Oryzias latipes: one gene and its partners. The protein of the gene in region 5 interacts with the protein of the main gene of each other region in a pairwise test. Links are inferred from orthologs where the notes say so. Each region holds a gene or a part of one and is shown on either strand. Other genes may lie near its edges.

Region 1 (4,045 bases), on a different chromosome or scaffold from region 5:
CACAATCCCCTTCAAGAACGTGTTCCTGCAAAGCATTACATTCACTGCTCAGGTAAAGAACAGGCAGACCTTGTAAAAGGAAGTCTTCATATTAAGAACTATGACCTGTTTACTTTCAATAGAAGATTTTTTTAAATTATTCATAAGGGCTGCAGCAGCACCCAGCTCATTTATATTTAGCACAGTGACTTACAAAGTGCTCCAACCCCACTTTACATCTAACTTTTCTATTGTTATGCTGCTTGAGTTGCTGGATTCCCAAATGAATATGCCTGTAAATGTAGTAACCTGAAACTGACTGGATGTTCTGCTGCTTTAGGTGGACAACCCCTGCTTTACTGTCAAAGGACCAGACAACATCAAACCAAAAAAGATTCACAACATCCAGGTTTCCTTTGAAGCTCCTGATGGAGAGCCTGGAAGGGAGGCCTGGTTCGGAAAGCTGACCGTTTCCAGCGAGCGCTGCGAGGGACACAGCAAGCCTTGCTCATGGGTCTTTTACCTGAAAGGATCCCAGTGATCATAAATAACCACAACAGGAAGCAGCTGATCCGTTTTTATTATTTAGTAACTGTTATATATGAATTTAATTAGAATGACGAAGCTGCAATACTTTAAAGCATAAACATTTTCTAAATGACTTAATAAATTCTACAAAGTCCTTCCTGTCGATGCACTCTCATTTCCACAAGGGGGCAGTAATGTCAAGTAATCTGATCAGAGTTCTGCTGCTTGTCTGATGGAGGAAAGACACATCATCCTCCACAGCTGTTTTGTCATTCTGTCAACTTTCCTGCAGGACCTCATTTGTCCTGATCTTCTTTTTGTTCCGTTAACTCTGGAAAAGGGCAGACCTGGTGGAGTCAGTCATTACTAAAGGTTAAATCTGTCACATCACTCATGCAGGACACCCTCTAATGAGAGGAGCTGCGTGAGGAAAAACTCTCTGATGCTCCTTCAGGGATGCAGAAATCCTCCCCCTGGAATACAGCCAAAGGACAGAAACTGTTTGCGGGATGAAACACCCACAAAATATTTTTTGAAAAGGAAAAAAAAAGTTCTGACGTGCATTTGAAATCAGCCACATAACGCATGATCTGCAAAAAAAACGCGCATGGAAAGTGAGAAGTTGAAGCTTCCACAAGGTTTTCTGTCTCCTGAGTGGGTTTGCAGGGAATGTGGGGTGGGTGTGTTTTGGGGTGGGTGTGTGATGTAAGGAGGGAAGTGGGGTGGGTGGGGAGCTCCTCTCTCTCCCCCATAGAGCGCAGCATGAGCGCTCCGCAGCAAAAGGATGTGCGAGCAGGCAGCGCGTTACTGTAGGGACGGAGTCCACAAACTGCTCAACAAAGAACAAGCCAAACTCCGCGCGCAGGAGAGCCGCGAGCAGCCCAAGCCTTCAGCCGGTCAGGACAGCGAGTCCGCGACGGCAGCGCAGTCCGGAAACAGCGGCGCCCAGCCCGGTGGAATCGACGGGCTCGTCCGCTGGATCGTCACCAAAATGAGCGACAACAAGAACATCTCCAGCCGGGAGTACGCCTCCAGCAAAGAGGAGGTGGCCGTGGCCCAGGAGCAGTTCTTTGCCCCGGAGCCACGGAGAGGCATCTCGGTCATTCTGGATGTAAGTATCAGGCTGCATGGGGGGGTTGGATGCGCAGGATCCAGGGAGCGGTGCGCGCCGTGCGCACTTACGCACAGACAAGAGCGAGGAGTGGAGACTTGGCAGGAGGTCTGCTGGTTATTTGACACTTTGGTGGGTGTCCGGGATGAGGCTGGCGCCTGAACTCTCCACTCTGTCTGCATCCTCCACCAAACCGCCTGAGCTGTATTCAGTTTATAAACTTCGAAACAGATTCCTTAAAACAACAACAAAAATCTATTCATCAGTCAGTTAGATGGTTCACTGATCCACTTTTGGCGCAATCTTTAATATAGGTCAGCTCATCAATACCCGCAGATCGTTTGTCTCCCCCTGAGATCTTCTAGTCCGGCCTTAATAGAAGACAAAACAAAAGAGAAACTAGATCAGCTTCTGCAGATGACCTGAATAAAGTTATGACCAGAGGGCCAATTCAAATTTCATGTCACATTATTCTAGATTTTCAAAAAGTTATTTCTTGAGAGAATCCCTACCAGCAAACTAAAATTGTGTGTTTGGATACATGAAAAGATTCCTGATTTCTCTCCTGTTTTTGTTGTTCATTATTTCTGTCGTTTTGTATTTATGCCTCTCAGTGACAGTCCGCTTTGATCTCTAAGCCTGCAACTCTTCCTTCTCTGCAGGATCTGACTTCAGCTTTGAATCATTTTAGCATTTTCTCTCCTTCTTTTGCACATCACCCCGAACTCTAGAATGTTAATGATTTTGCCATGTTCCACTCTTGCTGACCCCGTCATCATTATCATGGTGGAGAAGTGAACATTTGATTTGCACGCTCACACCTGCATCCAGCTGTCTTTTTTTCTCCTACGGTCTGCTCTTTTCTTCTTCCCCTCCTTTCCTCATTTGTCCTTTCCTCCTGTTTTCAGAGAAATCCGTTTTAATAAGGTTTCAGGCATCGTCCGGCTTTTTCCTGTTTATTCTTAATTTTAAAGAAATAGTTAAGCCCTCACAGTTTTGCTGGTCCTCTGTGCTGTGAGCCACCGCCTCCTTAACGCGACACTCTTTTCCAAGCTCCTCTGTTGCTGGCTCTTGTTTGTGGGGCTGAGTTGGCCCCATGGGTGCATTAGAGGAGCCGAACAATGCAGAGCTGCTTGTCATCTGAAGCACAGCTCAGTTTGGCACCAAGGTTTTGATCTGTTCTACAATGATGCCTCCAAGACTGCACATCTTATTTAGAGCTTTAGCTGCCATAATGCAAAAACCTCTTAATGAGTTTCACTGCAACAGAGGAAGGAAATAATTAAACATAAAACAGCTTTTATGCAAGTTTTTTCTGCAAAATCCAGAAAAAGGAAACATTTTGATGAGAGATTCCATCAACACCAGTACTGTTATTGACAGAAGTGACTAGAAAACGATCATATTCTCTCATTCATATTTAAATAAAACCAATAAATTATTAGCAGCTTGTCTGTTTTGTACCCTTTTAGACATTAGAGGATCACAAAAATCATCAACGAATGAAGGAAGTCTCCATTTAAGAAGCATTGAAGCTTTTTGCTGCAGTTCTGTCAATATTTGGGCTCATTTTTGCTTCTTTAGAACACACAGCTGTGATGCAGCAATACCTTGTCTCTTTGGTTACAGAATTCAGAAACAACACAGGGGTCCTTCTTACTGTATTGTTGTGTTTTTGCAGCTGATCCTGAATAGAAAAGTAAATAGGAAAAAAAAGATGACGCAGACAGACGAGCAGACAAGTTCTTACATTAAAAGTAAAAAATGCTGCAATCTGGATCTCGTCTTTATGAGCTGTCTTCTGTCCGACCTCCAGTTCCACATCCTTGTGTTTCTCTCCTTATCAGAAGTTCCAGTTCTGAGCCTTTCACTTCCAAACAGGTCAAAGCTTTTACTGCAGCTATAAATTAGCTCAATGTGGAGCATGCAGTGAGTCCTCATCAGTCTGGTGGACATCATCGGCTCTGTGCTGCACCTTATCCCTCAGCCTCAGTGTGAACTGACAAACAGAAAAGTCTGGGCACTGAATGTTGGCTGACCAGCCGCTAATTACAATCCAGATTCCCTATTTCTACACAGAATTAGTCACTCCTCGAAAAAAAAAAAAAATCACAACATTGCATGTGTTTTACCATCTGTCAGCTCTCTTCTCACTGTGGCAATGAGGGGTAAATCGACTTTCAGCATCATAATCTGAGGGTGTTAAAGTTGGATTTAAACAGAAATAGGTCCAAAGTGTTTGAGTTTTAATCCATACCTTTATTGGATTAAAACATTCCTTGGACAGACTAAATGTCTAAAAGCTTTCACCTACTTAAATCTGTAAATCTGTTGTATTTTCCATTACCCAGAAAGCACGTCAAAGTCCTTCTGGGAAATGGAAATATACTTTGGTTTTCCTTGAAGCTGTTCAGATAACACTCACAC
Region 2 (3,500 bases), on a different chromosome or scaffold from region 5:
GAGCGAACGAATTCTACAAGTTCTCCTCATTGTTGGAGAGAGGATCTCTAACAGAGGCTTTCCCCGTTTTGGTATGGAAAAAATATATATTTGATGATTTTTACTTGGCTCTAAAGTTGAGCTTTGGCTATTTGAGAGCTTTTAGGAAAAAATGTTGCTGAATTTTCCTTGTTTTTTTGTCTTTTTGCAGTCGGGTAGGGTTGTGGAGCTGTGCATAGCTCGTTGGTGGGCTAGTCTGGGAGACGTCACTGTGGACTACAGCATCTCGTTCCATGGCCTCTGTGTTTCTCCTTTGCCGCTCCACATCGTAAGAACTTTGCGTGCATCAGTTTAACCCAATAAATTCCCCATCAGACAATTTAGGTTTGTAGTTAATTGTTGATGTGGATGTGTTCAGCACGCTTCAGAGGGAGTGGCTAGTTTTGACGTGTCTTCGCCTCTACGGTATGAGGAGGTTTCTCCCTCAATCACCCTTAAATCATGGGTACAACCTCTGAGGTGAGTGATCGCCCATCCACACACACAGTTAAAACACAACTTCAGTGTTATTTGATTGGTGTTTCTATCATTTCAGGCCTTTGAGTTCAAAGATAAAGGCCTTGGGAATGCGAGATGTTCTACCCAATAACAGACAACTCTATGAGATTGTCCTTACCTACAACTTTCACCAGGTACTTTCTGACACAAAGCGTAACAAATGCATGTTCTGGTGACATTATGCTTCCAAATAATCTTCTTTACTGCTCTCTAAGCCTAAGAGCGGTGAAGTTACGCCCAGCTGCCCCATGCTGTGCGAGCTCCTATACGAGTCTGAATTTGACAGTCAGCTGTGGATGCTGTTTGACCAAAACAAGAGGCTGCTTGGTTCAGGAGACGCCTACCCGCATCAGGTACACTCACTCCCTCGCTCTACAGTAAACCCTTGTTTTTCGCGGGGGTTACGTTCCAAAAAGAACCCGTGATAGGCAAAATCCGTGAAGTAGAAACCTCTATTTTTTTTTCAATTTTAATACAATTAAATAATCTATTATACATTAAAAAGAAAGAACAAACCATTTTACAGGCTCAAGCATTTGTTTCACAAATAAAAGTTCTTTAGAAATGTTTTTTTTTTTTTCAACAAATAACTCTGTACTGTACTGTCAAATAATAATTTTAATCATCAATGTGAACAGAAGGCTTCAAATCGCGGAGATTAGCCCCGCCCACCGCAACCCGAGAGTAATTGAATTAAACGGGAGAAAATTTAAAATGATTATGAAAAAAATACAAAGTACATTGGGACAAATAGCGACTCAGGTGTATTTCACTGCTCTAGCCGCTGCATCCTGACTCCGCTCTGCAGTGTTTTCTTCTTTTGAAGCCCTCGGTGCAGCTGTGTTTGTTCGGGAGAAGAACATAGTGATAGGCAGTTGTTGCTCTTTTTTCTATGGGTTTTAGAGAAACTCGAAATTGCAAGATAATTTGCACGTGCGTGCTGTAAATTTGGCAAGCTGTTTTACGTACGTGTACATATTAAACTGCAGCGTTATTGACGCACAGGTAGAGAAGAAGCGGAGTGACTTCTTAGCCAATCAGAATGCAGAACACAATGCATGATGCAAATCCGTGAAGTAGCGAAACCGTGAAAAGTAAACCGCGTTGTAGCAAGGGATCACTGTATTACTGACAATTGGTAGCGTTTTTCTAACGTGTCCCTACTTTTGTCGCTCCCCAAGTATGCGCTGAAGCTTGAGAAGGGGGACTACAGCGTTCGCCTTCAGGTCCGTCACGAACAGTCCAACGAGCTGGAGCGCCTGAAAGACCTGCCGTTTGTGGTTTCTCATCGTTTATCCACAACCCTCAGTCTGGATATCTACGAGACCCACCGGGCGGCTCTCATGGGCAAGAAGAAGGCAAACTCCGTCACTTTGTGTCCGGGTACCACACATCCATTTTACATCACTGGTCTGCCAGATGACAAGTGAGTGAAAGGGTTTGGTTTCTTGTTTTTCCGCTGTTATGTTGCTCATAAGCACTTCTGTTTAGAAAACCTGACAGGACAAAGTAAACGTCACAATTCGAACGACTAAAGCTCTTTTTCAATTGATTTATTCTTTGTTATTTACATTATCATTCTTCTTATTCTCTGTGTCTTTTACCTTTTTTTCTTTTTGATTTTTGTAGTCTTTTTGGTTTGATTGCTTGAAATAAACCATTTATAAATCCAAATTTTTCAGGATTCCTAAAGGAACAAGTCCAGGCTGCTACATTTTGGGATCTCTCATTGTGCCTAAGAGCGAGTATGGCAAGAAAGCAGTGAGTAGCTGTTACCAATGGTCTCTTTTCTGTGATCAGTACTTTTGTTCAGGGAACTAAAAGGGAAAAAACAAACAGGCAAAACAACTTTTGCACAGTATAACGTAGTTTTAATTTGTAACTATAGAAATAAAATAGAACATTTTTTAGCTAATTTATACAAACTATGCATATTAAAACGCAGTGTGGAGATGTACAGCCTATATAAGTCCAACCTGCGTCTTTAGTATCACTGATTCTGCAAGTTTTCAACCTAAAAAGCTAAGATTGGTATGTAATGTTCATTTTAGAAACACTTCAAATCTGAGAGACTCAGGAAAGTCCACTGTATAATTTCTAAAGAAATGATTTGTGTAATGGAGCATAAATTAAAGATTTGGCTAAAAACAAAATTTAACTGCAGTACTTTGTAATGTAGCTTTGACTGTCAATGACAGCAGTCAATCATTTCCTTTAGGTCTTCAGCTGATGTAGCTGCGGTTTTGGTCCATTCATTCATGCAGATCTTCTCGAGAGCTGTGATGTTTTGGGCTTGTTGCTGGGCAACACACATTTTAAACTTCTCCCACATATTCTCTATTAGATTGAGGTCCAGAGACTGGCTAGACCACTCCAGAACAGCGAAATGCTTCTTACGTAGCCTCTCCTTTGCAATGTGTTTCAAATTATAGTCCTGCTGGAACATGCAGACATGTTTAATCCTCCCTGATTTTAGAAGGTTTTTACCGCAAATCTTATTGTGCATGACCCAATTTTTAAAGGGGACAGTTGCCTGTCCCGTTACCATTAAAAACAGCCCAAATGCATGATGTTTCCACCCTCATGTTTGTGGGTAAAGTGTTGTTGGGATGCATTCTTTCTCCTCAAAACACGACGGGAGGCGTTCATACCCTAGAGTTCCATTTTTGGTCTCGTGTGAGGCCCTATGGACCACTGCTGGATTTGAATCCATGATGACGTTGTGTTAAAAGGGTTCGTTTTTTTAAGTGAAAGACGTTTCGCCTCTTGTCCAGGAGGCTTCTCCATCCAGAGAGCCAATTTTACAGAATCCATGATTTTGAACTACTGTATTCACACTAACAAGCAAGAACAAACAAAGCGTTTGTGAACCAAAGGAAGCCATGACACATGGCTGATCACATGGCATTTAAACCACCAAGTTCATTTTAGTTGTATCCAAAAAAGGAACAGTAATTTTACAC
Region 3 (4,286 bases), on a different chromosome or scaffold from region 5:
AATCTTAGAAATTGTCAGTGCCCCTTGCAAGGCATAATATTTTATTGAGACCATAATTTCATTCCTAATCCATTATTCTTTTGAGATTTACAGTTGTATTTATTTGTACTTTTTTTTTTCTTTTCTACCAAACAGCTTCCAGGTTAATTTCTTGAGGAAAAAAAATGTTCAAACATCAGTTTACAATAGTTTCTCTGCTGCAGGAATTAGACATCCGTGTGAGACCAAGTTTGACAATCACTTACAGGACCTGGAGCACAGCAATTACTCACTGAGCATCCCACTGATCCCGACCACACCGGAGGAGATGGAGGACATGTTCAGACTCTGCTCCCACGTTCGTTTTAGAATTCCTCAACAGGTCAAGTCCACACCTGTAACACAAGTTTCCCTTTGTGTACTATAGACACCAAAAATGGACAATCTACGGGGAAATAAAATCACAAAAATGTTTGCTACATTTAATGGATACTTTAACCTTATTTTTTTATTGTTTAGATTCTTCAAGGATTGGTAGACGTCAGACTGCCTCACAACACGTTTTATGAAGAAGGTGGGATTTGTTGTAAAAAAAATAATTATTACTTTTTTACTAAAATAACATGAAAATAAAAACTTTTTTTCATTTCTGCAGTATTTATGGAGATTGTTAGTGAGAACTCAAGATATGCTTTGCAAGAGCACCTGCATCTCATAAATGCCCCTCTACAAGTGATTTGGGGTAAACAAGATCAGGTAAATATCATGTTCCAATAATAACTTTGTTTGGTTCAATTTAGGTGAGTGTTGTGATGATTTATTTATATATTACTCATTATATATTCATTAAGGTGTACCAATATGTAACATAGAAATGTCAGTTTAAGACAACAGTTGACTTTATTTGTAATGAAATGCCAAAAGAGATTGCCTTTTGGTCCAGGTGGTGGATGTCTCCGGGGCAAGCGTTATTGCAGAGCTGTTGCCTGGCTGCAGGGTAGACCTGCTGGATAACTGTGGTCACTCCGTGGTTATGGAGAAGCCTTGTCGGACAGCCAGACTCATCCTGGAGTTCATTATCTTGCAGCAGAATGCCAGAGGTGGTACCAAGAAATCGTCCTGAATAGAAGATTAAGGGAACAGATCAAATATGTAGCCTATGTGAGGAAGAAGCACAGAAGTAGAGAAAAATATGAAAAATGATTTATTTGTTTTGTGTCTCCAATTTGACTAATAAAGTTGGATTAGATATGATGTGTGGTCTTTTGTTTACCAAAACTTGATCAATCTGCTTTTATGCTGACAATTCAAAAGATATCTGCTTTGAATCTGTAATAGCCCATGTCTACATTTTTATTTTACATTTTATTTTATATTTTCATTTATTTAGGCATTCGCCGTTTTTTATTTTTTTGGTCAATGTTTAAATTTACATAGAAAAATCATCAGTCCTTTATTGTGCCACCATAATGTATTGAGGTGTTTCCCCGCTTTGTTTGGTCATTTTGACGCGTAAAGCGCATGGGTTGGACTTGGAGGAGGAATCCTTGCGCTCCTGATCCCATGCTTGGTAGGCCTGTGAATCTGTGAAGTGCCCTGTCCATGGATGCGTGGATGAAGCAGAGGAGGCTGTAGCTGCAGCAGGACCTCCTCCCTCCTGCTTTCTCCCCCCGTCAGTGTGCGCAGTTCCGCTGCAGCCTGAAGCAGAGTGCAGCTGCCCGGTGAGACAGACCGCAGGCAAGGATCCTATCAGTGGTCATTTGATCCACCGTTACTGGAGAACAGCGGGGGAGTCTTTCTTAGGAGCCATTCAGGAAGGAAAAAAAAAGGCGCTAAAGCTGGTGAGTCTTTGCTTTATTGTCTACCTGGTTGGTTGATTTGTAAACCATCATGAACCTCAGTAGAGACCGCAGCTAACGTTCTTGGATTGCTAGCTGCTAGCATGCTAGTTAAAAGAAAAACCTAGCTGCTAGCTTTCACACTTACACGTATGTTTGATGTCTCAACGTTAGTATTCACGGTTTATTTCACTTTTTTTCTTCAGAATTGTACTTAATGTAAGCTTACAGAGAAGCACACTATTACCTCTAACTAAAAGCTTGTGTTATTTCTTCTGCCGGCTTCTCTCATTTATTTATGCCTGCGCTGCAGTCAATTACACAGTCACTTCGATAATGCCAAATAACCAGGAGTCAAGATTGGCTTTTGTTTTTCAGAAAACAAATAGTTAACTCTCTGTCACTTTAGTCATATATTTAATGCTTTGATTTTGGAGGATTCTATCCATTTTATTTAGAAATGACCAAAACATATGGGAACCTTTATCCTAACTGTAACACGACACTTCTCTTCTTTTTACTGTAGTTTTGTCCGATTAGGATTAGGTTAATGGTTTTCCTGTTTCTTGCTTATCTTGTCTTTTGCAATTTTTTTCATTCTGGCCTAATGATCCCTAGACTAAATCTGGCATGTTTTACATCAGTATTTGTTGTTATTAATACGTATAATAAACTAATGCAGTAAAATATTACTTGGGTTTTGTATATTTATTTTTGTTTTTAAAGCTTTAACACCCCCCCCCCCCCCCCCCCACACACACACACACAAACACATTAAGCAAAATCAAGCTCACTGGGACATTATTAAAGACCCACTCCAATGAAAAATGCACCTTTAACATGTCCTTTTGGCATCTTTCTGATGATGAAGGGGATATTTAAAGAAAATTAAGCTTAAAATTGCATTTCTGAGTATTTCTTTAATCAAATTTTGGGGAATCAGGAGCAGAAAAAAAACGCATTTTGAAAAAGATCATATTTGTGACAAAGAAAACACAATCGGCCGGCCATAAGCTCCCTGCTCCGCTCCATTCTGATGCATCCACTTGCAGACCATAGACCCATTTACGTCTTGTTTTCCTCGTCTCAGCTGGCATCTGGCTCAAAAAACCTTTTCCAAAATGACACAGGTTTTTATTTGAATTTTCTTTTTTATTTAGGCTAAAAGCAGCATAATAATAATAATAAAAAAACACTAAGAATGCTTTAAAAAAAGATCAAGAGATGATAGGAGTGGAACTTTAATATTGTCTGATTATGTAAGTAGTTATTGCTACAGAAAGCATTACTTGAGTTTTAATGCAAACTTCTCTCCCATTCTGCTGACAAGTTTTCTTAGTGCCTCGTATTAATGTAATTATTTTTCTTGTGCTTGTTTTACTGGTCCAAATAAAGGGAGTCTGTCCTGATCAAGTTCTCTCCCTACTTTGGTTTCAACCTGGTAGAAATTCTACAAATGGATAATGGAGACTGGGGCCATAGGGTAAGACATAGTTGAAAGTCATAATCATTTTGCCTTTCAGTTCATTTGTTTAACCAGAACCGCGTCACAGAAGAACCAGTCTCAGCAAACTCTACAGAACTTCTCTTTGTATTGATTTCTCATTTCCTCTGTTGGGCATCAGATTTAAACATTTACATCCTCACCAACTGATCAGATATGTAGTTGTGTAGTTCTTTTTCATTTTCAGCAGCAGTGGCACATTTTAAAGATATTCATATTGGTCAGAGACATACCGATGGAAGTAAACAAATGCTAGGAATGAGTTATTTAATGCCAATTCCTTATATTCCCCTTATAACCATTTATGCTGCAACGCCGAAGCAACTCTGCAGAAGACCTTACATCAATACTAATTTGGCTGTTTCTCATTCACCTTCATTTGTTCTTGTGGTGGGGTAACCTAGGTTGTTGTTCCACACTGACAACAAACACCACAATGATAAATGAAGCTGACTTTCTGGACTTTCAATACTTTACATTTATTGAAAGTCAAGTCAGAAACTTGCATAGTTTGTGAAAGATATCATTTGGTGTTAATTTCAACATTGTTCATGGTTTTAGATGCATCTTAAACTGTGTACTTTTTACCAAGCTGTGAGTGTTTATAAGATTATCAATTGAATGAAACTATTCTTTCAGTTTGTGTGCCAAAAAGTAGTTGAGCAAACATTAGTTCCTCTCAGATGGAAATAATTTCTAATAAAACGTTTGCTTATACAACACTCCAGTGTGTGAGCTAACAAAACAAACTCTGCTATCCTCTCTAGATGACCACTCCTGTTACCTTGAATGTGGGAGGCCACTTATATACCACCAGTCTATCCACCCTGCAGCGTTATCCAGACTCCATGCTGGGAGCCATGTTTCGGGGGGATTTCCCTACAGCTCGGGACGCTCAGGGAAATTATTTCATTGATCGAGATGGGACACTTTTCAGGTACATCCTGAACTTCCTGAGGACATCT
Region 4 (4,300 bases), on a different chromosome or scaffold from region 5:
TTTATGAGAGATTTAAAACTCTTACATAAAGAATTATTTACATACAACTCTCGAGAGAGAACTGTTTCACCCCACAAGCAGAAGCTTTTATTTCAGCGGGTTAATAAAACAAAACAAAAATGGACATTTAAAAGTTAGGTCTGCTGATCAGAAATGCAAGAATCTGCTAATTCAGAAGGAAATGAAGCATGTTTTGTTTGAAACTTGATTAAAAAGCTGAAACGTTTCCATGTATAAAGTGGAAATGTGTTGATGAAAATAAAGACCATTTAAAACTTAAAGCCACGAATGAATTGAAGGAAGAGGAGATGGCATTTAGCATAAAAGAATTGGTGTAACTGAGAGCGAGGAAGAGGAAGTGGTACAAGAGGAAGAAAAGTAGTTGCTGCTTGTGTCTCGCAGACAGTGACATGTTTAAATGGCCTCTGGGTTATTTAACTTGTATGGGCAGCTATGTTTCTGGAGCAAAAAAAGTTTAAATAAACTGTGAAACTAATGAATGGAAGACAAGTAAGGTAAAAGCAAAGAACCCTAAGCCTATAAAACCCAAAGTCAGGAAAGTTACACCCTTTGCAGTAAACCACAGAGAGGAAATAAGAGCATGTGTGACTTTATTTGTCTCTCTCTGAGTTTAATCGATTAAGGTGAATGTATAGTAGCGTATGGGTTGGGTCTGACAGTGGTTATTTTCACTCAATAGGTCATTTATGACTAAAAGTAGATGCAAGTCAGCCTTAGTGTCCTCTTATGTGGACCTTTTTTCTTCATTTGTAGGGGAAAGAGGAAGTAGCAAGAGCTCTGAGAAGTTAACAAGAATCCAGACTAATGCCATACATGGTCAATTGGTATTAGTGAGATTGAGTTTTTACCATTGCTTAGTGGGAAAAGTGGTTATTGTCCATCCTCTGACAGGGCACTTTTACAGTCCATAGTGTCTTTTGTGAGTCATGTGTTTGGCTTGGAGGGTCTCTGACTCCATCTGAGGTGGCATTCTGCTTTCCAGAGTGTGCAGCAACATCCACATTGTAATTGTCCTCAAATTGCATCAAACATATCTTGCATTTCCAGACTGAAATCTTGAGAGACAGGTTTTAAGAGGAAAAGTATTCACAGGGAGGAGCAGCCTGTGCTCTGCTGTTTGAATGATCAGATAAGCAGGGGGACTTGCTCGAAAGCTTTATACAGGTTCATATTTTATATATATTTGAAACTTTGTAAACTCTATATGTATTAATATTTGTTCAAGAAACATTATATCCTTAGATTAGGCCTCACATCAATCCCTATCCTTTTATTTTCCCCCAGCCCGTTACTGTTATCGCCTCCCTCTTTCTACGCTCAGTGCACCACAGCGTGCACCCGACGTGCCCCAGTGAGTGACGCTGGACCAATCACATGCCGCGATTCCGAAAGTTTACCTTTTATGGAAAGAGCCGGGCAACGGACGGACTATAAATACCACGTGCCCACGGCTAGCAAATTCACTCTGAGCGCCGTCACACACAGCTTGTGCGGGATATCATTCGCCTGAAACCGATTCCCTTGAAACGAAAAGCCCCCCACCCAAAGGTAAGATAGAGACGATATTTGGTTTAATTCAAATGTTTTGGAAACCTTACGATTGTTTAATTGTGCAGTTTAATTCTTAATTGGAGGTGACCATTAGCAGAATTTTGTGGCCACTAAATTTATTTTTAGGCCTGAAATGGTTAAACTTTTAATTATCTTTTTAAAATTGACAATTTTGTTTGTTTTGGCATCAATCAAGTTGTACCAAAATTAGCCACTTAAACGCACAGGTGCCAATTGATTGTAACCGGCAAATGGCTTTTCAGTTTGGTTTTAATTGTATATTTTATATAAGCAACTAAATAAAAATTACTATTCGTATCTTACATGGTGGGGGGAATTTTTCGAGTCCTTCTACGGACGTTACCCGTCCGAGTTGAGGGTGTCTGGATCCTGGCGGGTCCCTTTGTGCGCCGTTACGGGGTGTGACCTACTTTAGCATATTAGCCTAGCTTCATGCTAACACGCCCTTCTAGACTTGACTCTGATTCCTCACATGTAGGGGGGTGGGACTGTTATACATTTGTTTGTATAAAATGTAATAACCCTTAAAGCATTTTAAAAGTATTCGATTAAATTGAGCATGTAACTGTAGTTTGACGGCGAAGAAAAGGGCAAATGACAAATCATTCATTCAAGAAAAGGCGTGGCTTTCAGGAAATGATTAATCAGTCATGGGCTCGCACACGTTTTAATTTCCTTCTAAAGCTTGACGGGTCGTGGTGCTTTATGCCAGCAACGACTTCGCACAAATTATGACGCAGTGATTAAGAAATTTTTCAGTCTTGTGCAACAATGGGAGGGAACGCTGACAAAGTAGAGCTGTAATGAACCAGTGGGAGTAGGCTTTCGTCGCCGGGTCCGATAGTCTAAAGTCCCTCCCCTCTTGCTGTACTTTGGCCGCGTGCCTTGCCGGTAGCCGCAAAGCTGCTCAAAACCGAACTATGTCCTTATATGGTAACAAGAGAATGCAGCACCACTTCCTTTTGTCTGGGCTCGGAATGTAGCGCTCTACCTCCACCAAGCGGACACTTTGGGGAACTGCCGCTCCCTGACAGGAAATGGGACATCTGACTGCAAAGCAGATGCAGATGGGCGTGTCTTTGGTGTTAACGCCTTATTTGTTTGTTTTCCAGTTTAGCCATGGATGATGACATTGCCGCACTGGTTGTTGACAACGGATCTGGCATGTGCAAAGCCGGATTCGCTGGAGACGATGCCCCTCGTGCTGTCTTTCCCTCCATCGTTGGTCGCCCCAGGCACCAGGTTAGTTCCTAACTGTTTACCTTTATAATTTTTTACTATTTAATTTTAAAAGTTTCCAGATTTACTAAATGTAAATTTAAACTTTTTTTCAGGGTGTCATGGTGGGTATGGGCCAGAAAGACAGCTACGTAGGTGATGAAGCCCAGAGCAAGAGGGGTATCCTGACCCTGAAGTATCCCATTGAGCACGGTATTGTTACCAACTGGGATGACATGGAGAAGATCTGGCACCACACCTTCTACAATGAGCTGAGAATTGCCCCTGAGGAGCACCCTGTCCTGCTCACTGAAGCCCCCCTGAACCCCAAAGCCAACAGGGAGAAGATGACCCAGGTACCCGTTTACCTCACAGTGGAGCACATGTATACTCTTTTCACCTTGGTTTCCTTCTGTTCATACTTCCTCCATCCTCCTCTTCTAGGATTTCTTCCTATAAGATGAGCTTTCATCAAAAGGTCTATTGACAGTTTGCCTTGTATCTGCACTTGTGTTTTGAGGCTTAGAGTAACAGATCAGCACCTAAAAATGACATGCACAAGTGTGAAGGAATGTTTACCATGTACTAACTATAGATCGAGCCCCACTTTAATGCATGTAGCGAGTGGAGTGGTCGCATTGCTGCTTTGTAACATGCTAACATTGTGCTTTTTGTCTCTGCAGATCATGTTTGAGACCTTCAACAGCCCTGCCATGTACGTTGCCATCCAGGCTGTGCTGTCCCTGTATGCCTCTGGTCGTACCACTGGTATCGTCATGGACTCTGGTGATGGTGTGACCCACACAGTGCCCATCTACGAGGGCTACGCTCTGCCCCACGCCATCCTGCGTCTGGACTTGGCCGGCCGCGACCTTACAGACTACCTCATGAAGATCCTGACGGAGCGTGGCTACTCCTTCACCACCACAGCCGAGAGGGAAATTGTCCGTGACATCAAGGAGAAGCTGTGCTACGTCGCCCTGGACTTCGAGCAGGAGATGGGCACCGCTGCCTCCTCTTCCTCCCTGGAGAAGAGCTATGAGCTGCCTGACGGACAGGTCATCACCATTGGCAATGAGAGGTTCCGTTGCCCAGAGGCCCTCTTCCAGCCTTCCTTCCTTGGTAGGTACCTCAACCAAAGACTTGTGTACAGACCCCAGAGTGCCCCATGCTAATATTTAATCTCCTTCCAGGTATGGAGTCCTGCGGTATCCATGAGACCACCTACAACAGCATCATGAAGTGTGATGTTGATATCCGTAAGGATCTGTACGCCAACACTGTGCTGTCTGGAGGTACCACCATGTACCCTGGAATCGCAGACAGAATGCAGAAGGAGATCACAGCCCTGGCCCCATCCACCATGAAGATCAAGGTGAGCTTTCTGAAGAGTCTCCCGTCTGGATTGTTCCTTTGGGGAAAAGGGGCTCATTCTCAACTCTCCTCCTCTCCCTACAGATCATTGCCCCACCAGAGCGTAAATACTCTG
Region 5 (4,156 bases):
CAAAAAAAAATAAAACCTAGAATGTTTTGAAAAAACAGCAGCTCAGCACTGGCATCTGAAGCATAGACTGACTTTAGAGTGTGCAATTCGGTAGTGGCATCCAAGCGCCAACTCCAAGCCGCCGCCCAGAGCGACCCCCTCGATGGCCGCCACCACCGGTTTAGCTGCTGATTCCACGCCCTGGATCAGTGGGATCAACGGAGGACCGGTCAAAGGTGAGCTGAACTCCCTGATGTCCGCCCCTTAAATGCACAATCGAGAAGTATTAAGACACTACCGTGTGAAAAAAATACTACTTTTACAAAAGAAAGTAAATATCAACATAGAAAATTGTGCAACTTGTTATTGTGACTGACACTTAGTTGGCGTTTTTTCTAACAGTTAATTGAGTCATTGATCTCAAGTTGCCTTATATAGACATCCATTTTTTTGGGTGTTGGATTCATTTATTTCATTGCAGCTGTTTGCAAATAACATTTCATTGTAAAATACTGAAAATGATGTATAGTATAATTGCACATATACAATTAGAACTACAAAAAGAAATTTCATTGTAAAAGTGTAGGTTGAAGCCACAGCTACTCTAATTACCTGTAAATTTCAACAAAAAATCTTTAGAATTTGTTGAACAAATGTTAACATTAGGAACAGAATCTGAAAATACTGAAATATGATATGGAATTACATCTCTTGAGATCATCTCTGTAAAACTATTCCACAGGATTATTTTTTAAAGCGTTCTGTTTTTTTAAACAAATCCAAATCCCGGAGATTCTCTTGTTTCAAACAAACACAATATGTTTTTGGCAATAATTTATTTTAACGTTACTACATTACCGATGCAGTTTGTAGACATCTGTAAACATTAGAGCTTTAGATATAATAATTAAAAAAACAGTTTAGTAGATTGATCATTTGTTGAATGGTTGACCATCCATATGGCTTTTTCTGTGATATAAAAATTGGTTTTGTTTATTTTCGCCAAATTCCAATACATTTTTTAGCATACATTAGTATGAGAGAAGAGCATGAAAGAGTTTTAATATTTAAAAACCCAGATTCATGTAGTAAAGTACTTGCTTTTGATTTTTAAAATGGGTTATGTGAGATTTCTCAGACTCTTGCTATTAGTTGTTAATCAGTTTATTCAATAAGATTACAATTCATTCATTAAGAATATGTTTCATCTTTAATACATCATTTTTGTATGTTTTTCTTTTACTCCAATTCCAATTTAGACCAATAACTGAAATGTTTTTTTTAATCCACTGTGTGCTTCCAGCATCAGGACAGTTCTAAAAAAAACAGCATTAATAAAATAATAAAATAAAAAGGACATAAAGGCTTAATCATCAGACGTTTTAATATTTTAAAGGCTTGAATCATTTCAGTTGTGTCACCACTGTTAAGGTACAGGTACACACCTCCACAAAATTTGCCATTGTGACCACAGATGACCACGGATTTCACCTTTCGGTCGCTCAGGGCCTTGTCCATCGTGTCCACAATACCTTGCCTTACTGCTGCACTGCAATTAAAAAGAGGATATTATGTTTATCAATTTGAACTTTACCCACCATAACCTGATGGGGCCTGATTGTAATGAGTCTAAGTAAGGACCAATGGAACCAGCAGTGGAATTACGAATGAGATTTGCAAAAATGAAATGATATATTATTGATTTTAATTTATTAATTTATTTATTTTTTACATCTGACATGAAAATAAATAAAAACAAGTTAACCTTTACTCAAGCATAATCAGAAATACTTTATTGATCCCACACGTGGGAAATTTGTTTGTCACCATAGCAACTGACAGCAGAGGGGAAAAAAGACTTAGAATGAAATAAGAAAAAAACAAGAACAAAGAAAATGTAGCATAACGTGCATTTTTCAAAGAAGGTGCTTCTGTAAATATGGTTGCCTTGAACTACCTTTTGCGTTGAGTAGTTTTAGTTCTGAATATAACAGCTTGTGTGCTATTTCTGGGCGAAAACCCTTTGCTTTTAGGCAGACAGCCATCAGTAAATGATTAATTGCAGTGTTTTGCTGTGATGCATTATCTCTCAGGCTGTTGGTAGATACAGTCCATCAGGTTCGTCTGATAGGCTGGTCTGATATGCCAGGAGAAGTGCAATGTAGAAACCAATACAGGTCAGGGTGAAGGCAGGCAAAAACTTATTTTTCTAATAATAAACAACATTTTAAGAAAAAAGCTTACAGTGGAAGCAAAAAACTTAACTTCAGGACTGTCTGCAGCAAATAAAACTGTCATGAAATTTGATTTTTTTTTTTTATTATTGCTAAATAACACCTGACAATATATCTACACAAATCTAGACAGAAGATAACCAAACAGAAAAACATCTGCTTCAATGGCCTCTGTCCTACTTACCTCTACCGCCCCCTTGTGGTTTTAGGAAGAACAAAGTAAACATCTAAAAGTTTAACTCAAACTTTAAATCAGTAAGTTTATATTTTACTTCAAACGATGTGCTTATAAAATAACAATGTACAATTTATACATGAAATACTAATCAAAAAATCCATAGCTAACAGACAGCTATCAATTAGTAAAAGTGTTGTCGCATTGTTGTTTTGTGATCTTACCTGAGTGCATTAACAGGAGGATTTAGGAGCGTAATCAGGCCAACAGTCCCCGAAACACGACTGTACTGAGCCATGATGTTATACTAATGATTAAAACTGATAACTAGTCGCACTTCACCGTAAACGAAGTAAGTGGACTTTGAAACAAATCCGTTAGTGCTACATCGCTTTTCATTTATTTTTGTCCCTCCGTGAATACCGTACAAATATACTTCTTCGTGCAGAAAATTTGAGAATTTAAAGGCGGCAAACAATTAGAGTCATAGCGCCCCCTCGCGGACTGGATCTGAACACAAACATTATTTTGAACGGCATTATAACATTTTTTTATAAGAGTAAAAAAATAAAATAAACGTAAAATGCATGATATTAAGGTCTTTTGACTAACACCTGACCTAAATTAAAGAAGGAGGGGGCGGAGATGCGACGTCACCGCAGAGGTTAGCCGTTGTTGTTCTCCGGGAACAGCTGGGAGAAGTATTTTTCTGCAGAACTGAGGACTACTTTCATCATCATGCGGTCACTTTTCGGGTTAATTGCTGTTGTTACGGCAGCCACGTTGTATCTGTATTCGTTGTCGCAGTATCTCCCGGCCGGACCTGCGAGAAGTCCCCAGCTGGACAGTGAAGGTGAACATGAAGCGAAGGAGCCCCGTTACTCCTCTCCGGAGCCCAGCAGGTGACCCGCGTTAGCCGCTAGCTGTAAAATTACAGTTGTGTTCGGAATTATGGGGTGTAATATCGTGTATTTGGCACAATTCCGGTGTTATAAGTACGAACAGCTTTTAATTACAACACCATATGTATAGATTACGTTATTTGTTTCCTGCTTTGTTTGGAGTCTTTTGGATGTGTATTTTTATTTATGTGGAGCAAACAAACTAAAATACTGTCTGCTGGTTTTAATCGTGAAAAAAAATCATCGCAAAGCTTACAATGAAAAAAATGCATATTTAAAACACTAAAGGGTATTTGATGGAATAATTTCAATATTCTTAAGGGGTTCTGGAGGATTTTGAGCCAGTATTTTCTTTGTGAAATCTGTAGATATATATAGTATTTCGATTTCTGTCTATTTTTAATCTTAGTTAATTGTTTCATTTTGTTTATGAAGATTTTTTGTCTCCCAGTCTTTAAATGCCTCTTAAGGTTTTGTTTTGTGTTTGTCCTGAACCCTAATGTTTCAGATAATCAAAAGTAGTTTTAAAAAATAGGTTTAAAAATAGACATGGACTGTACCAGGTAATCACAAAAAGTTTAATTTATAATCAACTATTGTAATTTAAATTGACATGGCCTTAAGGGGGGGTAATAGGGGATTTCAGACCACAAATCAGTAGGACTTGGCTGACTAAACCTTGGAACAGGTTAATTAAAAAGCTCAAACAATGTTCAAATATTTAAGAAAAAAGAAAATGTATCAAGAAACTCTGATTTCACCATATCAAGATAAGAGGAGTTAAAGGTCTACAGGTGTTTGAATAATTCCAAATACATGTGTGAACTTGAATGTGGTGAAATAATCAAAGCTATATTAATTACAAC
Region 6 (4,167 bases), on a different chromosome or scaffold from region 5:
ACTCTGCAGCCTCTCACAGCACTTTGGGAAGAAGACAACTATCAAGAATCCTTTTCACAACAGGGCGGATGAAAAGGTGAATCCGAGGATGAAATGAGCTTCAGCTATTCCGGTGCTCGGGCTGTTTTCCGCTAAACTCAATAAACTTTATTGACGGTGAAGATAAAAGCGTGACAGGGTTGTAGGCATGCCCGTCCACACCCAGTGTGCTTTCTACATCTAAAATAAGATGTTTTTTTTAATGTCTGCTTTGATTCACAACAATTTCAGTAATCAAATACACAGAAAAACAGTTTTAAGCTTAATTTTCTTTAAAACATGTCCATCCGATAAATGTTACAAGAACGTAAAAAAACACAATTTTCATCAGAGTGGATCTTTAACTTTGGGGTTCGTGCCTCCTCTTCCTGTCATTTCGGTTTTAAATCAGTTCAAAACTAAATACAAAGACAGTCTTGGTTATTAAAATGAGGAAACCTCTCAAATAGAAATTGTCGTCCCATTTCTCCTCCGGCAGAAGAGTTTAGGTTTCAAAAATATGTTTACTCTAATATTTTGTCACATAGTTGTTGGTTTTCACAGCTCTTTTCACCGACATGTGAACACCTGAAGGGGTTTGGCTGCAGATGCACACATGCGGAGGCGGCTCACCTTGGTGTACGCCGTCTCCGTCTCTGCGATGGTGCGGTCGAACGTGGCCCGAGCGGCCAGCCTTTGAGCCAGACTCTTCTCCACTCGGCTCAGCTTCTCCGACAGGATCTGGATGTCGTGCTGCAGCCGCTCTTTCTCCTCTTCCTCCAGCTTGATCTGACGGTTCAGCTCCTCCCGTTTGGAGTACAGGTCCTCGATGCCTGAGGGGCAGAAGCACGGGTGGAGTTTCTGTGGGTCTGCTGCTGCTCCCCCCAAAAAAAACACCCTTAAACCTGCACCGCTTCACAGTATCAAAGGATTTACTGTTCGTTTAAACTCTTAATTCAACGTAAGAAAAAAAAAAGATGCAATAAGAATTGTGAATGCTTTACACTAAGGTCTTCGCCGTCAACAATTCTGGATCAATCTTTGATTTGATTTTAGGATATTACAAATATTGATTGCGTTAAAAAACAAAAAAGGAATTTCACAAAACATTTTGTTTAGCACTAGCCAGATTTGTGCATCTCTGAAACACATTTTCCACAAAAGCACACCTATTTTTAAGGGTAAATAAAGACATAAATGTCGGATATAATCGACAAGCTAACTGTCCAACGTGCTGAAGATAAAAGCAGCCATTTACGTTTGCATTAAGTCAGAGAGTTAACCTGGTTAAACTGGGTGAAGGTATAATCTTTGGGATTTAACGAGGTGGTGCAAAACTTTCTGATAAATGAGGGACAAAAAAGAGGAAAACAACAAAACTCGATGGATTATTATGGAAAAATTAATTCAGGAGTCTCCTAATAGGGGAAACATGTCATCAAAACCTGCCACGTTACTTATATATCTGAGAAAAACAAATAATTATAAAAAAATATTCCTACTTTTTTTTTAAAGTCTATTTAGAAAAGGGAAAGTGGGAAAATCGCTCACATTTGACCAGCTCGTTGTTGTAGGTCTGCAGGGCGGCAGCTTGTTGAGTCATGTCCGCTGCTAGCTAGCAAAGTAACGGCCGCTTCTGAACTCTCCCGCCGTCCTAGCGATGCTCGGTGCGGGCGACGAGCTAACGCGCCATCGATGCCTCTGAGCTGAGAGGCGGAAAACGTCCGGACAGATTCAGCCTCCTCCGCTGGTCCAAGGTCCCCTCCTCATTCAGGACAGCGGGGCTGGAGCAATTTCCCGGTCAGATTAGGAGACTTCTTCTGCGGTTAATTTAAATGCACGATGACGGACGGGATAGTGGTGGCGCCCTCGAGTGGAAACGTATTTTTGCTTCGGCTGCTTTGGCTTTTCATTTAACAGGGGTTCAGAAAATCAAACATTTAAAATCTGATACATCGTGCTTTAATTTTATAATGAACCCCCTTACCCAGTTCTATGGATTTCACTAACCTGATTTCAACAATGAACTGTTTTCATTATTAGCTGTTGTTGGAAAATATAATCTGTCGCTTTGAGATTACTTTCCTTTGTTGCATGTCCAATAAAGTCGAGAAGAAGAAAACCACGGGATTCGTCCGGATTAAAGATTAACAAATTTATTCCCTAACAATATTTCTAAAAACATAGTAAAAACAGAATAAAACAGAATAAAACAGATCGATCTGGGTGTCCAAAATCAAGGCCTGCAATACGCAAGAGGTTACATTCCGAATTCACATGCAGCTTGTCTGGAGACACAGGAAAATTCCTTGAGTTCAGACTTTTAAGCATGTGGGCAGAACATCCTCCCCCGGGAGCAAGATGGCCGCCGAATCTCCGCCTCTGGTCGCTAGAGATTGGCTGGCAGGGAGCCTGCCCACTTCTGTCAGTCCATGTTAGGAGTCAGCATCCGTTTTCCCGCGTCTGAAGTCACCTCCCAGACTGACATGGTCCCGCAACCAAATGGCTCCCTAGGTGGCCCCCACGTGTGGCCGGATCTTCTTAACATACAGTAGACAATACACCTTTGTTCCCCACACGGGAGCAGATGCCTGTGGCGGTTCCCAGGGATTGAGATGATTGATTTATGATCCAAGTCAGACCTACAACCAAATGGCCCCAGAAGATCAAAGACCGTTTTCTCCTGAAGGGGTTGGAGGTTGGAGCTGCATTCCTGAAACCTCTTTACATATGCAATTATCAGGAAGTCCCTTTTAATTGAAATGACTGAAACCCACACACAGTAAACCTGAAAGAAAACCTTCAAAGAAATAAAGATAAGATAAAAACCTAGGAGAAATAAGAACCACAAAAATAAATTCCTTCAGTTTCCCTCTCTTGACCTCACGAAGTGAGGTCACACAAAAAATAAAAACACATCATCAAAATATAAAAGTACAGAAAAATAAAACATTCAAAGTCAAACTTAAGTTTAAAAAAGTAAAAATATAAAAGTCAAATTCAAATTTAAAAAGTCAAAATATAAAAGTAAAAAGGTAAAAAATACAACAAAGATAACACTTCCTATAAAGAAAAGAAAACACCTAGAATTAAGGGGGGGAATTGAGAAATGTTAAAGCAGAACAAAATCACACAGACGATGAAAAGAGAAAAGAAAATTGTCAAACATAACAGTAAGCAATTTTATAAAATGTAACAAAGTCCAAAAAAGGTCATTCCGGGCCTCGAACACTCGCGTCCTCCTTCTGCATGTCCCACAAGCTCTGGCAAGCTTGGACCTGGCCTCCTATGGACTTCTCAATAAGCCTGTTAGAGATCTGACACATCTGATACAACAGAACGGCTGCAAAAGGACTTGGGGTGTCCACTGCTGTGGTACTGTTCTGCCAAGATGATTCTGCTGTGGGTCTAAGTTTTTGTTAGTGTTAGGGTCAGGAAATTAAAAAATAAAAAACAATAAAACACAAAAGACAATGAGACAAGAATCAATTTACGCATGCGCAGTAAGAGAAAATATGATGGAAAAGGTCCACCACATTTCTCTTCTCAAAGGTCTGCTTCCCCTCGTGCTGTTTTATGAAGAACACAAGTGGGGAAAATACAAATTCAAGAAAAAAGAAAAAAGTTTATTATGGGCTGTTGTGTAATGACCCAGTCGTAGAACCTACTCATCCTTGCTGTGGATGAGAGAAAATCAGATGAACAGACACACAAAGCTTTAAAATTTTTAAAAATGGTCAATCTGTGTTACTATTTAAACATTCTTTCTAAATGGTCAATCTCTTTCTAGACAAATACATTTAAACGATAATAAAATAATGTCCTTCTTTTAATCATTAAGACCTCTTTTGTCTACCTCCCTCTCTTGGCCTGGGGCTAAGCTCCAGGACAAACACATAAAACGAATTAAATGTAAAGCAAGAACATAAAAACAATAAACTGTTTGGTGCATCGATAAGGTGAACAGGCGTCCTGTCCACGTTCCTGTAAAAGGCAAGGTCACAAGAAGAAATAATACAACTGCAACAGAAGATCTTTCATTAATTGCAGGCAGATGTCATCCACCTGTATTAGCAAAACACAAACCTCTTATAGCATAATGTTCTGTCAGAGAGACTTTAAACAGTGATCAAAAATGCAAGAAGGATT
Region 7 (3,500 bases), on a different chromosome or scaffold from region 5:
TAAAACAGCTACACAACAAAAACCATGGACAAAAACGCACACTTAAACCCCAATCTGCCCAGATATGACGTCATGGTGCATTGACACCAAAGTTACACCAACTTAATTCAATTAAGTTGATTGAAAGTAAAATAACTACATCAGACAACTACGTGTTATTTTTAAGTTGAATGAACTAAAAAAAAAAAGATTCATTTTTCACCAAACCAAATAATTAAGTTAGAACAATGGAAAAAAGTTCATCTTTCCAACTACAGCCTAAATACTCTTTTTAGATTGTGCAGCAAAATGTTGTAAACAGCTGCCTAACAATATTATTGACGCACTCCTTTCTTTGCAATGCCTAAATAATACTAATAAAATACTTTTCTCTATATTTATGAATTTAAAAAAAGGAATAAACTTTTAAATACATGTTTAAAATTTTAATCTTACTAGAAGTATACAATTAGACAATATCTTTTGTCGTAAAAAAGGAGCCTTTCCTTCTGCCCGCTTCTTTCATTAATTTGAACACACACAGACAGCCAAACAGCATGGATGTCACTTCTGCTTCCAGCCCTCTCACTCATGGTTTTCACACCAAGATTCCCCCTTCCCATGAGTCTTAGGGGCTGAAGGCGGGACTAACCCCCAGGATGCTACAATATTTAGAAAAATAAAAATTTGAGAGCATGCGGGGCAAGGAATTGTTTAATCCACCTGAAACAAGAGAGATAAGAAATCCAGGACGCAATACTTAAATCTATATATTACACCTTAATTATCCTTTTAAGTTTAATTTACTTAATTTAAACATATTTTATTTTAAATTAAAAATTATTAGTTACATATACTCAAAACAGGGGATGTGTTAAACAAACTTTATATGATTGAGTTAGAAGAGCTTTTTTGAAAACTTTGAGTATTAGCTACTCATTATATTTAATTACTTTGAACGTTCGGGTTTACAGTGTTGATGTGGTTGCTTTGCTCTGTCTGACCTCTAGGTGGCGCTCCAAACTACTATCCAAACAGCTTCAGTGCCCCAGAGACCCAGCCTCAGTTTGTGGAGTCCAAGTTCCAAGTGTCTCCTGATGTGGCGCGGTACAACAGCGCAGATGAAGACAATGTGACTCAGGTGATGAAGAGTCCGGCCTCTGCAGAGCCTTTTCCCTTCAGTCTCTCCACGACATGAATGAAACCTGAATTTAGATTTTCATTTACAACTGATTTATGATACAGATTTTGAACTAAAGTTTCCATGAAACAATGAGAGTGAAACAGCAGAACCTAGATCTTCAGATTGCAGTGACGGTGGTTGATCTGTGTGCTGCAGGTTTGTACCTTCTTCACCAAAGTGCTGAATGAGGACGAGCGCCAAAGGCTTTGCCAGAACATGGCGGGGTCCCTGAAAGAAGCCCAGCTCTTCATCCAGAAACGCATGGTGAGTTCAGGCTCCATCAACTCTGTTAAACTGTGAAAAGAAAAAACTGAAAAAAGTTAAGCAGCCATTTTAGCAGCTGCATTTGTTCACTGGGGGGGTTGTGGTTAAATGTTCCAGCAACTCTGTTTTTGTGGTTGAAGGTTTACTGTCGGGTTTGAAAAAAAAAAGAGGGTCTGTGACACACAATGAAACTGATGTGGCTGCATGAACACCAAAGTATTGAAACAAGAGTTTTAAAACCATTTAAACTTTATCCTAAAGGAAAGTAAAAAATAAATTTCTGCCTAAAATGTGTTGAAGCATAAGTGTGGTTAAAATAAGAAAAACGAAGGAAGTTTGACCAAAATTATCAGTACGTTTACTTTTTAATTCTCCTTCTGGGTCTGCTGCTGTTCAGCTGCTGCAGCTCTACATGGGGATCTGCATCACCGCTGAGCTGTGGTGGAGCGGTCCCCGCCTGAGATGCTGCTTCTGGCTGGTTATGCAGCGATTCACTGAGAGAGAGGTTCCAAATATGAGCCTTTCCAAGAACAAACCTCTGGTTTCACGCTCAGACTATTTATCATTGTCTATCCCCATCAGTTATGGGGTGGGAAAGGGGTGGGTGGTTGTAGGTCTGGGAGGGGGCTCTATTTTATTTTTTGTGCTAGTTTTTAATTATGTTAATTTAGTTTTGTTTTAATGTACAGGAATTGGTGTTATACTCTGATAGGAAAAGTTATGAATTAAGTTTGATCTGATTTGAAAATGAAAACACTTGAGCTCACAAGAACATATTTGTTCTCTCCTCTAACTGCTTAAATTTATTCATGCTTCGTGTTCAAGTCAGACCTTTCCAAATACGCACTCACTAAATTACGAGTCCTTTTTCTTTTACTGTATTTTTCAGAAGCTGTAGCAGCCAAAAGATGAATAAAAACAAATTGTGTACAAGTGGTGTCTGAGTATGAGTCGCACTTCCAGCCACTATGCAAAAACTAAAACATGATTTATTCTCTGAACAATCTGGTAACCGCTTCTGCTGGAGGATCAAAGCTCAGTGTTTCATTTCAGAAGAAATCATGAACTTCCTGTCTGTGAACCACTTAGTCTCTTGGAAGACGTGCAGCCTGCTTTCAGGCAGCAGGGCTGTGGACTTCAACAAGCTCGCTCCTGATCAGCGAGAGTGGTTGCCATAAACGCAGACTTGGACCCATCACCGCTTACCGACATCCTCGGGCTCCAACATGGCGGTGTCCGCATCCCTAAAAAATGCAGACTGAATTGTCTTCATTTGTTTGAAGCTGGAAGTGAAGCGTTTTCTACGGGTGACGTCACTAACTCAGTCCAGGTCTCATGAACAGTCCGTGATTCCAGCCTTACCTGTTATTTTCAAGGGTAGAACATAAAGAAACGTTGTGCCCCGGGTTTTCTTACACCAGTTTTTTAGACTTGAATTTGTAGACCTGAGTCTGTAGACCCTGCTTTTATTTTCAGTGTTTCTAAAATGTTAACGTTATGGTTTTGATCAAAAAGACAAACGGTTCATAAAATAAATGAGCAGCAACAAAAATGAAAGAACCACAGAAGCTTTTATTCTTCACTGTTCTCCGTCTACATTTCCCATCTATTTATTTTTTGTTTTTGTGTGTTTCTCTTGCAGGTGGAGAACTTGAAGGCCGTCCATCCTGACTATGGAAACCGTGTTCAGACCCTCCTGGATAAATACAATGCACAGGCAAAAAAGGTACTTTTTTATTTTCTCTAATAATAATGGAAAAGGATAAATATCCCGTGGCTGTTCTGCATTCATTGCTGAATTTTTTGTTGTGCAAAAATGATTTATCCTGCTGCATTTTGAACATGTGATCTGTTTATCTCAGAGCGCCAGTGTGCACGTCTACAACCGTCCAGGAGCTTCCGCCATCGCTGCTTCCTCCAAAATGTGAAGCTGCACCTCCTCTTCCTCTAACCTCAGAGGAACTCAGAATCACCAACTTCCTGATGGAACGAGATTTGAATGAACCTGCTAACAGCTACGGCTAATCACGTGTGTCTTTGCTAGCAGTTGATTGTCTGTGCAGCTCAATGCTGT

The links.
Region 1: the proteins of ehhadh (region 5) and necab2 interact in binary tests that used the Homo sapiens proteins (3 or more experiments, as listed by UniProt). The two-hybrid records come from large-scale screens. The link is inferred for Oryzias latipes from reciprocal best matches to the Homo sapiens genes EHHADH and NECAB2.
Region 2: the proteins of ehhadh (region 5) and tpp2 interact in binary tests that used the Homo sapiens proteins (3 or more experiments, as listed by UniProt). The two-hybrid records come from large-scale screens. The link is inferred for Oryzias latipes from reciprocal best matches to the Homo sapiens genes EHHADH and TPP2.
Region 3: the proteins of ehhadh (region 5) and kctd6 interact in binary tests that used the Homo sapiens proteins (3 or more experiments, as listed by UniProt). The two-hybrid records come from large-scale screens. The link is inferred for Oryzias latipes from reciprocal best matches to the Homo sapiens genes EHHADH and KCTD6.
Region 4: the proteins of ehhadh (region 5) and actb interact in binary tests that used the Homo sapiens proteins (3 or more experiments, as listed by UniProt). The two-hybrid records come from large-scale screens. The link is inferred for Oryzias latipes from reciprocal best matches to the Homo sapiens genes EHHADH and ACTB.
Region 6: the proteins of ehhadh (region 5) and ssna1 interact in binary tests that used the Homo sapiens proteins (3 or more experiments, as listed by UniProt). The two-hybrid records come from large-scale screens. The link is inferred for Oryzias latipes from reciprocal best matches to the Homo sapiens genes EHHADH and SSNA1.
Region 7: the proteins of ehhadh (region 5) and cat interact in a two-hybrid assay, tested with the Homo sapiens proteins (2 studies listed by BioGRID, with this or other methods). The link is inferred for Oryzias latipes from reciprocal best matches to the Homo sapiens genes EHHADH and CAT.

Annotation. Positions count from the first base shown.
Region 1 is NC_019864.2:24,684,458-24,688,502, reverse strand, and holds the start of necab2 (N-terminal EF-hand calcium-binding protein 2), read left to right. Parts: upstream 1-1,245; 5' UTR 1,246-1,291; coding exon 1,292-1,618; intron 1,619-4,045. Other genes in the region: hydin (hydrocephalus-inducing protein homolog), read left to right, coding at 1-52, 320-520. UniProt on the Homo sapiens protein: May act as a signaling scaffold protein that senses intracellular calcium.
Region 2 is NC_019861.2:16,578,795-16,582,294, forward strand, and holds part of tpp2 (tripeptidyl-peptidase 2), read left to right. Parts: coding exon 1-71; intron 72-190; coding exon 191-307; intron 308-397; coding exon 398-498; intron 499-574; coding exon 575-671; intron 672-752; coding exon 753-890; intron 891-1,718; coding exon 1,719-1,963; intron 1,964-2,219; coding exon 2,220-2,298; intron 2,299-3,500. UniProt on the Homo sapiens protein: Cytosolic tripeptidyl-peptidase that releases N-terminal tripeptides from polypeptides and is a component of the proteolytic cascade acting downstream of the 26S proteasome in the ubiquitin-proteasome pathway.
Region 3 is NC_019865.2:16,433,576-16,437,861, forward strand, and holds the start of kctd6 (BTB/POZ domain-containing protein KCTD6), read left to right. Parts: upstream 1-1,486; 5' UTR 1,487-1,820; intron 1,821-3,212; 5' UTR 3,213-3,273; coding exon 3,274-3,300; intron 3,301-4,088; coding exon 4,089-4,286. Other genes in the region: monoacylglycerol lipase ABHD6-like, read left to right, coding at 204-361, 499-553, 635-735, 923-1,102. UniProt on the Homo sapiens protein: Probable substrate-specific adapter of a BCR (BTB-CUL3-RBX1) E3 ubiquitin-protein ligase complex mediating the ubiquitination and subsequent proteasomal degradation of target proteins.
Region 4 is NC_019866.2:19,166,576-19,170,875, forward strand, and holds the start of actb (actin, cytoplasmic 1), read left to right. Parts: upstream 1-1,500; 5' UTR 1,501-1,569; intron 1,570-2,705; 5' UTR 2,706-2,712; coding exon 2,713-2,835; intron 2,836-2,927; coding exon 2,928-3,167; intron 3,168-3,494; coding exon 3,495-3,933; intron 3,934-4,004; coding exon 4,005-4,186; intron 4,187-4,269; coding exon 4,270-4,300. UniProt on the Homo sapiens protein: Actin is a highly conserved protein that polymerizes to produce filaments that form cross-linked networks in the cytoplasm of cells.
Region 5 is NC_019879.2:20,086,573-20,090,728, forward strand, and holds the start of ehhadh (peroxisomal bifunctional enzyme), read right to left. Parts: upstream 2,801-4,156; 5' UTR 2,687-2,800; coding exon 2,613-2,686; intron 1,529-2,612; coding exon 1,425-1,528; intron 243-1,424; coding exon 73-242; intron 1-72. Other genes in the region: tmem41a (transmembrane protein 41A), read left to right, coding at 3,127-3,290. UniProt on the Homo sapiens protein: Peroxisomal trifunctional enzyme possessing 2-enoyl-CoA hydratase, 3-hydroxyacyl-CoA dehydrogenase, and delta 3, delta 2-enoyl-CoA isomerase activities. Catalyzes two of the four reactions of the long chain fatty acids peroxisomal beta-oxidation pathway.
Region 6 is NC_019870.2:25,855,134-25,859,300, forward strand, and holds the start of ssna1 (Sjoegren syndrome nuclear autoantigen 1), read right to left. Parts: upstream 2,801-4,167; 5' UTR 1,622-2,800; coding exon 1,570-1,621; intron 852-1,569; coding exon 652-851; intron 1-651. UniProt on the Homo sapiens protein: Microtubule-binding protein which stabilizes dynamic microtubules by slowing growth and shrinkage at both plus and minus ends and serves as a sensor of microtubule damage, protecting microtubules from the microtubule-severing enzyme SPAST.
Region 7 is NC_019864.2:9,052,832-9,056,331, reverse strand, and holds part of cat (catalase), read left to right. Parts: intron 1-989; coding exon 990-1,120; intron 1,121-1,318; coding exon 1,319-1,426; intron 1,427-3,068; coding exon 3,069-3,152; intron 3,153-3,288; coding exon 3,289-3,354; 3' UTR 3,355-3,500. UniProt on the Homo sapiens protein: Catalyzes the degradation of hydrogen peroxide (H(2)O(2)) generated by peroxisomal oxidases to water and oxygen, thereby protecting cells from the toxic effects of hydrogen peroxide.